Regions from separate parts of the Mus musculus genome. Here all the other regions are reported to be linked to region 3. The links are microRNA targets in miRTarBase. Many come from high-throughput screens and were not tested one by one. Region 3 holds a microRNA gene; each other region holds the end of a gene's coding sequence. Distances are between the middles of the regions.

Evidence for each region. Region 3 holds the annotated microRNA mmu-miR-186-5p (CAAAGAAUUCUCCUUUUGGGCU, at 1,418-1,439, shown strand). A microRNA usually pairs through its seed, bases 2 to 8, with sites in the 3' UTR of a target mRNA and lowers its output. Matches are read on the target gene's strand: a 7mer-m8 pairs with bases 2 to 8, a 7mer-A1 pairs with bases 2 to 7 and ends in A, and an 8mer does both.
Region 1: the mRNA of Crispld2 is a reported target of mmu-miR-186-5p. Seed matches in the 3' UTR shown: 7mer-A1 at 1,793-1,799.
Region 2: the mRNA of Lrig2 is a reported target of mmu-miR-186-5p. Seed matches in the 3' UTR shown: 7mer-m8 at 766-772.

What each region holds. Positions count from the first base shown.
Region 1 is chr8:120,049,997-120,053,129 of GRCm38, forward strand. It overlaps Crispld2 (cysteine-rich secretory protein LCCL domain containing 2), which reads left to right. Exons shown (of 15, transcript NM_001310635.1): 15 at 287-2,798. The coding sequence ends at 341. Among named protein-coding and RNA genes, the nearest start is that of Zdhhc7, 50 kb to the right of the region's middle.
Region 2 is chr3:104,454,856-104,457,988 of GRCm38, reverse strand. It overlaps Lrig2 (leucine-rich repeats and immunoglobulin-like domains 2), which reads left to right. Exons shown (of 18, transcript NM_001025067.2): 18 at 25-3,133. The coding sequence ends at 224. Among named protein-coding and RNA genes, the nearest start is that of Gm38412, 47 kb to the right of the region's middle.
Region 3 is chr3:157,542,868-157,546,000 of GRCm38, forward strand. Mir186 (microRNA 186) reads left to right here and starts at 1,412; the gene lies at 1,412-1,482. It overlaps Zranb2 (zinc finger, RAN-binding domain containing 2), which reads left to right. Exons shown (of 10, transcript NM_017381.3): 8 at 291-377; 9 at 2,097-2,255.

The sequences.
Region 1 (3,133 bases), not on the chromosome of region 3:
TAGCAGACCCATGATGGCATATTTGGGTAGCATTCGGGTGTGTGTTCCCTTCAAGCCACCCCTTAAATCATCTGTCAACCAGATGTCTGAGACAGGTGTCAGTAAAACCCAGAGAGTCGCTCCGCAACCTCAGCCTGGGCTCACACCACAGCTTCCTGTCGGCACATGTGGGCTCGTCCAGCTGGGTGTGACTTCTGTGGGCTCTGACCTTACCACATTGGCCCTATCGGCCATTCCTTTGCCCACAGCTTTCTCTTCTAACTTCCTTCTCCCTCTTCTCTTGCAGCCTGAACACTCCTCAGAACGGAAACGCCTTCCGGATCTTCGCCGTCAGGCAGTGAATTTGGCGACCTGGGGAGAAGGGGGTGTCATCTACTGGGATTCGGGGTCCTGCTTTTTATCTGTACTTTGTCCTTTGGGGGTGGGGGGTGACAGAGAGTCAGGAATCTTCCTTTTGGTGTCATTGAACGTCCTGGGCCTCCATGGCCTTTGGTGAGGGTGACCGAGCACCTTCCCCCTCATGAGCAGCGTGCCGTGGAGTCTCTTGGCTGGACAACCAGTGCCCAGGCTGGCCAGGTGGCGGTCCCCATCTGGTGGCTCACCTCCTCTCAGGAGCTGCTCACTGAGACACTCCTTGCCATGTTTTCTTTGGTGGTGGAGGGGGAAGGCTTTCGAACCCTGAGGATACAGGTTTGAGATATGTCATGAATGGGGCTCTTGTCTGGGTGACAAGAGTCGACAGCTATAAGGTTACAGTCCGTCCTACCGACAGAGAAATGGGGTCTGTGTTTGCTGGTCAGACAGATGGGCTGCAGGGAGAAGCCCCGAGCAAGACCTGGGCTCTGCCCTGGTGGTGTCTATCCGTGCTCACATTCCCCAACCTTTTTGGCAGTCACGTGCTTATAAGTCCAGCAGAGCTGGTCTATTTAAAGTTGGTAGCACTCCAGAGATTTATCTTGTCTTTGTCCTTGTCTGTGTGGCCTTTTCTCACATGACCTTTGGTCTCATGGAGGACCAATACATCAGGAGCCTTCCCTACCATTCCCTGACCCTGTGGCATCTGCCCCACCCTCAGCAGATCTAGGTGTCCTCCTCTGGGGTTTGGCTTTGCAAGAGGCTCCAGGTCTCAGATGTCTTCTCACTTCTTAGAATAAGGGCTGCCTCCCAGCCGCCGTCAAGAGTGACAATTGAACGTCACTTCCCCCTGGTTTGGGTGACCTAGTTTTTAAGCTGTGGGAGGAGTAGATTCCTGGCACATTCCTCATGGGGGTTAATGGAGTGGCCTGTGGTTGTAAAACCACCCATGACACACCAGCCACCAGAAAGAGGGGCCCGGGACACACAGGAAGAACCCCTCAGTGCCTGCCAGCATCCCCAGGCTCCAAGAGTGTGGTGAGCCCTGGCTCCCATCACTTAGGAGCCTGGTCCAAACCCACTGTAAAATGAAGCATGCTTCTGTAAACAGCTTTACTCTAGAGAAGGTGGAATCCCACCCCAGTCCTGAGCATGGGGCAGATTGCCGGTGAGTGCTAGCCAAACACAAACAGGGTTGCGTGCTCCAGCCAAATATTTCTTAGACCAAAAAAAAAAAAAAAAAAAAAGGGAAGGGGGTTAAAAAATAAAACAGAACACCATCCCCCCAATCAAAAGGCTGGGGAGGTGGCTTGGTGGTTAACAGATCTTGTTGCTCTACCGGAGGACCTGCGCTCAGTTCTCACTATTCACAGGCCGTTCAAGAGATCTCTGGTCTCCACAGGCACCACACACATTCACAGGAGCAAAGTACAAATGGTTCTTTAAAAAAAAAAAAGAAAAGAAAAAAACCCTAAGGGAGTCTGAACAAATCTCTCCCCCTAGTTGGGTTAAATGTTTATTTGTTTGAGACAGTTTCACTATGGTAGTCCAGGCTGGCCTTGACCTCATTATGTAGCCCAGGCTGGCCTCCTGAGTGCTAAGATAGCTTTTCCCCAATCCACCCCTTCTGGGGAGATTATAAAAAGCACACAGCCTTGAACCAGCTCTAGTCAGCCTTTCACTAGGCTGTTTCTGCCTCATGGGTGTGGGTGTGGTGTCTTTGAGGGCATAAACTCTTCCACTCCAGATGTTGGAGCAGACATCTGCGCAGTCTGTGGAAGGGGACCTCTGGTTGCTACCAAACATCTGGGAAACTTCCCGATACAAGGAGTGCTGCCGTAGGACCCTTCACCAAGCCAGCAGGGCAAGGCTGACGTGGTAAGGAAAACCATACCCCTTCTGGGTTTCTAGAATGAGCAGCCAATCCCATCTTCAGGGAACTTGCTGTGTGAGTCTGTACTGAGGTTCTCTGAGTTCCCTGGCTGCCCTTCCATCAGGCACAGAGCCTGGCCTAGCAGCCTCGATCGATCACCTTCATCAATAGTTTGAAACTGGAGGAAACAAAACCACAAATGACAAGACCTTACATCAGAGCCCTTCTGACCCTGTGTGTCCATCCATCAGCTCTTCCTTAAAGTGACCACGCCCACACCAGCTGCACATCCCCCCAACCCCCCCAGCTCCGGCCTGGTCCTGCGTTGGGTGAGAGTTTCCATTTGCTTCCAAGCTGTGCCCGGTCTGTTCAGAGGGGTGTGCCGATTCTCCATGATCTGTAGGCTTTCTCAGCCCGCAGTTTACTGTGTGCTTTTTTTTTCTATGAAAAATGATATATTTTACAACTTCCTATGTACAAAAGTTTATTGTAAGTTTTTGTGCTTCGCATGAACAGGGCCACACTGGTTGTTGCTATGGTTTCAATAAAACGGATTTGATTTCTAACACATACTGGTAGCACATCTTTTCTTCTTTTCTTGTCTAGACACGTCATTTGTGAACTCGTTTGCCTTAGGTCCCCCACAAGCTCCAAGCAGTTGGGAGGCCCAGGTGGCCTTATGAGGGACCTCAGAGACATGCCTGGGAAGCAGGATCAAGAGACTAGTGACGTAATGAAGTGTAGGTTCTGGCAAGCAAAGCAGGGATGAGATGCTGTGCTCCTCACAAGCCCAAAGACCGCACTCTAGCAGTGAGAACCACTGGGTCTTTTGTCAGGGACCTGCTGGTGAGAGCTGTAAGGAGAAGAGTGAAGACTGGGGAGTGGCTTTGATGACAGAGCAGGAGG
Region 2 (3,133 bases), 53 Mb from region 3:
TTCTTGTCTCACTCTCATTCTCAGAAATATTTCAGCGGCCTCTTTGGAACATGAACAGAGAACTGGGCCTACTTCCCTTCTCCCAGCAGCCTGTCCTTGAGTCACCAGAGCTGACAGAGAGGGATCCAAATTGCTCTTCACCTGTGACTTGCCGCAGGTTACATGACCATGCTTTTGATTTTAGTAGGACTCGGATCATTCAAGATGGTACTGAGGGCACATGAAGCCCGTTGAGGAGGAAGTCTGAGCAAAGACTCAAGTTAGTTATTTACTACCTCAGAATTGAGAAGAAAAGTCAGTATTTGTATTTCTCTTTGCTTCAAGTTACATCTGACCACATCAGCGTAGCTCTGGTGTTTGGGCTTACACCTGGCAAAGAGAAGGTAGTGGCTGACAGAAGTGTACCACAGAAATGTGTACCACGTTGAAAGTGCACAGCCCTGGCAGAAGACAACATGGGCAGGTGTCCTTCCTGATCCCCACCGGGATGTGCCCAGGCATGCACTGCCTGTCATGAAGAGTCATTGCTGCTTAGCCTACTGGATTGTTCCAGTCCTCAGAATGGTCCTGAGAAAGCGTCTCTACTTTGATATCCTACTTTGCTTGGAAAAGCACAGGGCAGAGATATCTTCTGAGCTTTCCTAAGTATAACAAGGATTCTCCAGTGGTGTTGAGCAGAGAAGAGCTGCTGAGGCTTTGATATTCAAGGTCTTTAGCTAGAATCTAAGTTTCACCAACTGGTAGTACCAGATCAAAGGCTTTTGTATTCTTTGTGTGTGTGTGTGTGGTGGGTTTGTTTTGTCTGTATAACTGGGGATGTCATTGTAAATATATGTGCATTCATAAATAATTTTTCTACTCATTGACCTTGTGTGTTGGATACAGTGTAAATATTTTTGATATGCCCAAATTATATATAATGTCTGTCTGGTTACTGTATGGGCAGCGGCTTCTCCAGATCACAGATTTTATATAACTTAGTGTAGTGAGGTCTGCAAACTCTGTTTAAAGTTCTAGAATTGTGTGTTACCACGTGTATGTATAAAGGCAGGGTACTTAGTGATTGTGTGCTCATAGACTCAGTCTTGGTATAATTAACTGCCTGCTTCATGCCTGAAGTTCTGTGCATCTTGTACTTACTGTCTCTTTACAAGTGCCAGGTGATCCTCTTGTCTTGCTCTTCCAGAGCCCAGCAGTGTTGCCACAGCCCTGTGAGCACAGAAGATGACTTATTTCAGCAAAATACTTTGATGACAAGGAAACCAAAGATTGGCCTTTTTTATGTTTACTCTGTTTTCAGTCTCCTTCACGAATGTAGCATATTAAGAAGGGAAGTGTGCTCTTGGGAGTAGATCACACAAAAGTTCCTGTACTCTGTCAATTTAGTGTGGTTCTGTCTTTATACAAGTATTATTTAAGCCAAACAGCTTTCTGAATTTTTGATAGCAAAAAGCTTTATGTAAACAAAGAATGTTAACACTAATGAAATGTCATGTGCTTTCAGTCTGTCCTATGAGTATAATACCAGCTTCCTGCTCTCAACTTTTAAAGGTGTCTATTTATAAGTAACTGTATATATACAGAGTTCCAAACTCACAGCTTCTTAGCTTTTTGTCAGAAAGTTCAGGTGAATTTCTGACATTTTTTTCCCATGCTTTTTTTTTCAAACCTAAGTTTTCTTCCTCAGACAGCAGCACTGTTTGCTTTTGAAACTTTCGCTTTTTATTTAAACATGTTTTCTTCATTTCCACTTTGAACATTTAAAATGTATAGTGCTCTCATCTGTTTAGACTGTATGCCTTCTTTTAGGCTGTATTCCAGGTTTTTTACTGGTATGACAAGGCATTAAGAGCCTGCTCCCTTGGCACTGCTCGTGCTGGCTGTGTGTCTGAGTCTTACTGATAGAAAGAGACTGTTTATTAGCTGCTCTAAGCTGCTCTCCAGTTCCCGCCAGGAACCAAAGAGGATTGTGCCACTTGAGTGAAGAGCTGCCTTTGTGAACTGTTAGCTAGATCAAGGGTGATGCTGCTCCATCTAACTTGAGCTGTATTTATCTTGCCAATACAAGACTTAACGGTCTAAGACATGCTCAGGGGAGGAAAAAATGTTCTGCTTCTAAACACTGTCAGTAAACAAAAAACTCACATCCGAATTGGAAAAGTTGTCTTTTGTCTGGAAGCTGCTGCTCACAGGAGGCTCAGGATGGAGGTATACAGCAGCTCATTTATAGCTGGCCATCCCACTTTGTCTGTGGTCAGAGTTCTGTGCCCTCACGGAGAGCCCAGGGTAGTCAGGGTAGAGAGCAGGCCTTGACCTGGTCCTCTAGAAACACCTTACCCAAGATATCGCCTCCAAGCTCCAGCTGTGGCCCTTCTGCTGCGGTGTCCATTGGATCTCCTGAGAATTGGGGAGATGTTGACCTGCCTGCGCTTCCAGATCCCTGGCTGGCCTGAGTAACTGATTAGGAACCCATTTACAGACGAGAAGAGCCTGCCTCTGCTCCTGAAATAACAACAGAAGATTCTTACCCTAGAGAATTTGGTTTCACGTTTGACCATAGGACTAGTGTCTGCTTAGTTAACAAAATAATCTTCTCTGTGTTCACAACTAAAAACATGAAATTATGGCATCATTTTTCTGAAAAACAAAACCAATCCTACATTTCAGATACAAATGTCAGTGACAAACAATTTAAGTATATGTTGTATTATACATCTTTACTCTTGATTTTAATTTTTTTATTTTTAGCAGCCACTGGCCTTGAACTCTCTTGTCTCTCCCTCCCAAATGTGGAGACTAGATATATCTGGCTAGATTGATTTTTGTTCTTGCCTATAGAGCCAGCTGGAGTGGTATTGGTATTACAGTGTTCAGTTTATATTTTACCAAGTGTGTGAGGATGGCCTTTTCTCATAACACACTACAGGAGTAAGGAGTAGTAACAGGGAAATGTGGCTGTTTCCCTCAGGACTGGGATTCAACCATCAGGTTCCTGAATGCCCGGTACATGTCCTCCCACTCAACTCAGGCCCTGTATTTGTTCTCCTTAAGTGAGATATAGTTCATCTTTGGGCCTTTTTTCCAGGCTTTTGGCATTCCTAGGTATTAAACCTATAGCTTCCTATATACCAGG
Region 3 (3,133 bases):
AGGTGACATTGTCTGCAGTGAGCTATGGTGCTTGTTACTTCCCTTTTGGCAGTTTAATTGGGCTTGGAAAGTGGTCACTGAAACTTTTAATTTTTTTTTCCTTGTAAACTTAGTCTTTATTACAGTAAGAAGCTTTGTTTTAAGTATTTTTGCTTGGAAAATGCATCTCTTGCATAGACATCTTTTTATGTGAAAAATGCACTCTTAATATATGTCTTTCTTTCAGTGTTCATATCACAAACCTCAAAAATGTGGTCCTAGGGGAAAAAAATGCTTCCGTGTTGTTCCAGGTCCCGTTCAAGAAGCTCTTCCAGTTCGCAGTCCAGGTCTCACTCCGGTTCCAGAGAACATTCCAGATCCCGTGGTTCGAAATCAAGGTGAATGAGGTAGCGCCTCTGTAGAGCAGAGGAGAGTGCTCACAGGCTTCAGACGGCTCCGCTGCTTCTCTCATTGCCCTGCTTCTGTTTGTCCGTTCTGTTGTAGCCCTGGGAATCTAACGCACCTACCTCAGCTTAATCTCACCACACAGTGTTCCCACCGCACAGCGTGCCACACATTCCCACGGTTGATTAAAGGGGGTGGGGCTTGCACATATAGCTAAGATACGTGTGATGTAGGAAGGTGAAGGCAAGTTACTCCACCTGGTATATTAAGTTTATGTTTACAGTTAATTTAAATTTGACATACAAGTGAGAAGTTATTTCTGAGAGGAAGACCAACCATTCCATCATCTAGCTTCGAAACATTTTATATTTCAGGCAAATGTTTACAATAGCTTTGCCTGGTTTTTCTCAGTTTCTAGTGAGTGCTCTATGTATTTACTACATCTCCCTGACATTAAAGAATATTATAAATTACCTGTATAACAAACACCCCTCTTAAAACCAAGTCATGTAGGATGTTGGCTTAAGTATGGTTTGATATAAGCCATGCTGTGAGTATTTCAAAGGAAAATGATTGGTTAAAAAAAAAAAAGGCAATAGAAGCATTAGGCTTTTGGTTCCTTGAAAAACTTTTTTGTACTTGCTCACTATGCTGCCTTCATGTTCAGTCACTGTATTGTTGTGTCCTGCAGGCATACAGCATTTATACGAAAGCCTCTAAAATCTCACTTGTGGCTTTTACATTGACGTTTCCTAACAACTCTTCTGTAGAAAGACTCACTTACTTGAGCCCATTCTAACATTTGAAGGCAGCTGCCATTGAGTCCCCCTGAGGAGAGAGAGGGGTAATGGAGCACTGACCAGTGCTCTGCTGACCAGCGCTGAGTAGAGCAAAGGTTTCTTTCTTATTGCATTAACTATCCGTGCTCACTTCAGACTGTGGAGTCTTGGTGTGGCCCTCTGGGAACTGTAGGACTGAGGTTTACAGGACAGCCTTCATATCCTTCCCAAACATTTAATTGCTTACAACTTTCCAAAGAATTCTCCTTTTGGGCTTTCTCATTTTATTTTAAGCCCTAAGGTGAATTTTTTGGGAAGTTTGAGCTAAATGCCTTCAACTAAAAATATGTAAATAGAGATAAATTTGCTCTTTAAATTACACATTTACTTCCACTTAAAACATGTAAATGTTACTACTTCATACTTCATAGCACAGTTCTCATACAAATCACATTGTAGAGTTGCCATTTTCATTGACTACTTCACAGCTTCAGTGTTCTTTTTCTGGGCCATGTCCCTCAGGTGTCTGTAGCACCTGTAAGAAGTTAAGTTCATTGTCTTCAGCAAGCTTTATAAAAAGTGAATTTTCCTGACAAATGGGAGGATCTATTTTCTGACTATAAAGTCACCACAGAATTGATTTCACTGTTTGTATACTTTAAATTGGAACACTATAAGCAATTATAAAAATATTCTGTCTTAATTCAGTAAACTACTTCTTAATTACCAAGGGTAACTATTTAGAATGGTTTAAAGAGGAAATGATTGTGTGTAAATAGAACTTGTTGATGGTTGACCCAGAAGCCTTCTGAGTAAGCAGTAAGTATTCCCTCCTAAAGTCCTCATAGTCACAATCCTGTTTGCTTTTGGGAACTGGACAGTCTTCACTTCTGCCTTTAATGAAACGTCTGCTTTGTCTCTCAATCAATGAAGATCCAGCTCCAGGTCCCACAGGGGCTCTTCTTCCCCAAGAAAAAGATCTTATTCGAGTTCTTCGTCATCTCCTGAAAGAGACAGGAAGAGGAGTCGCTCTAGACCTTCTTCACCAGCTGTTCGCAAAAAAAGACGAACGAGATCACGGTCACCCGAAAGGTTTGGGTTTCTGTAGAATAAGAATGGGTGTTCTTATGTGTATTTCATAGGTGGACTTTGTAGGCAAGGGTTAGATTTCTTTCTCCTTTGTTCTTTAAATTTTTTATCTTTAAACTTCAAAATTCAGATTACTTTGTTTATCTTGCTTATTAGAAAAAAATTACAGGACAGAATATTCTCTAATCATTTTACTGTTCAAATTTTATTTCCACGTATATTATAGCCAACTCTCGGTTATTTTTGTGTTTTTAAAGATCTAAACCCAAAAGCTATATGTTGAAATGGTTTACATGTGTTTGTTTTTTAAGACTAAATGTTAGAGATGGTAGGGATCCTAGGGTACCTAGTCAGGATGAACTTGCAAAATCATGGGGATCTGTCCTCCTTTAAATGTGTTTAAGTTTTACAAGTGCATTTCTGTAGCACGTAGCTTTTATGCCCTTTACACGCCCTTGGAGTTAATACTTTTTTCATCTTGCAGTCCAGATCCATTTTCCTCTTTTGAAAAGGACCTTCTCTGGGTCCCTGTATCTAGAGTGCACTTGACATGTGTCAGCCTTTTCTGCAACAGACTTGATTACTTGATTTCACTAATTGTCTCTTGGCTTTCAATGTCATAATAATGATTTGTGGCTTCACTTGTAGTCTTAGCAAATTTTCCATATTCTCTCAACTTGTGAAAGAAAAGAAGGCTCATTAGATCTGGTGACGGCTGGGTTTAGAGGGTAGGGTCAGAATTACATGTCCTCCACATTCGAATTTCAAGATCGTACCCAGTCTTCCTTCTGTGCATTGTTTCTTCATATGAAAATTACTCTGTACTTGAGATAAATTCATTATGTTGCCATTCTACTTCTTCTGCGAGTTTTTATCTTAGC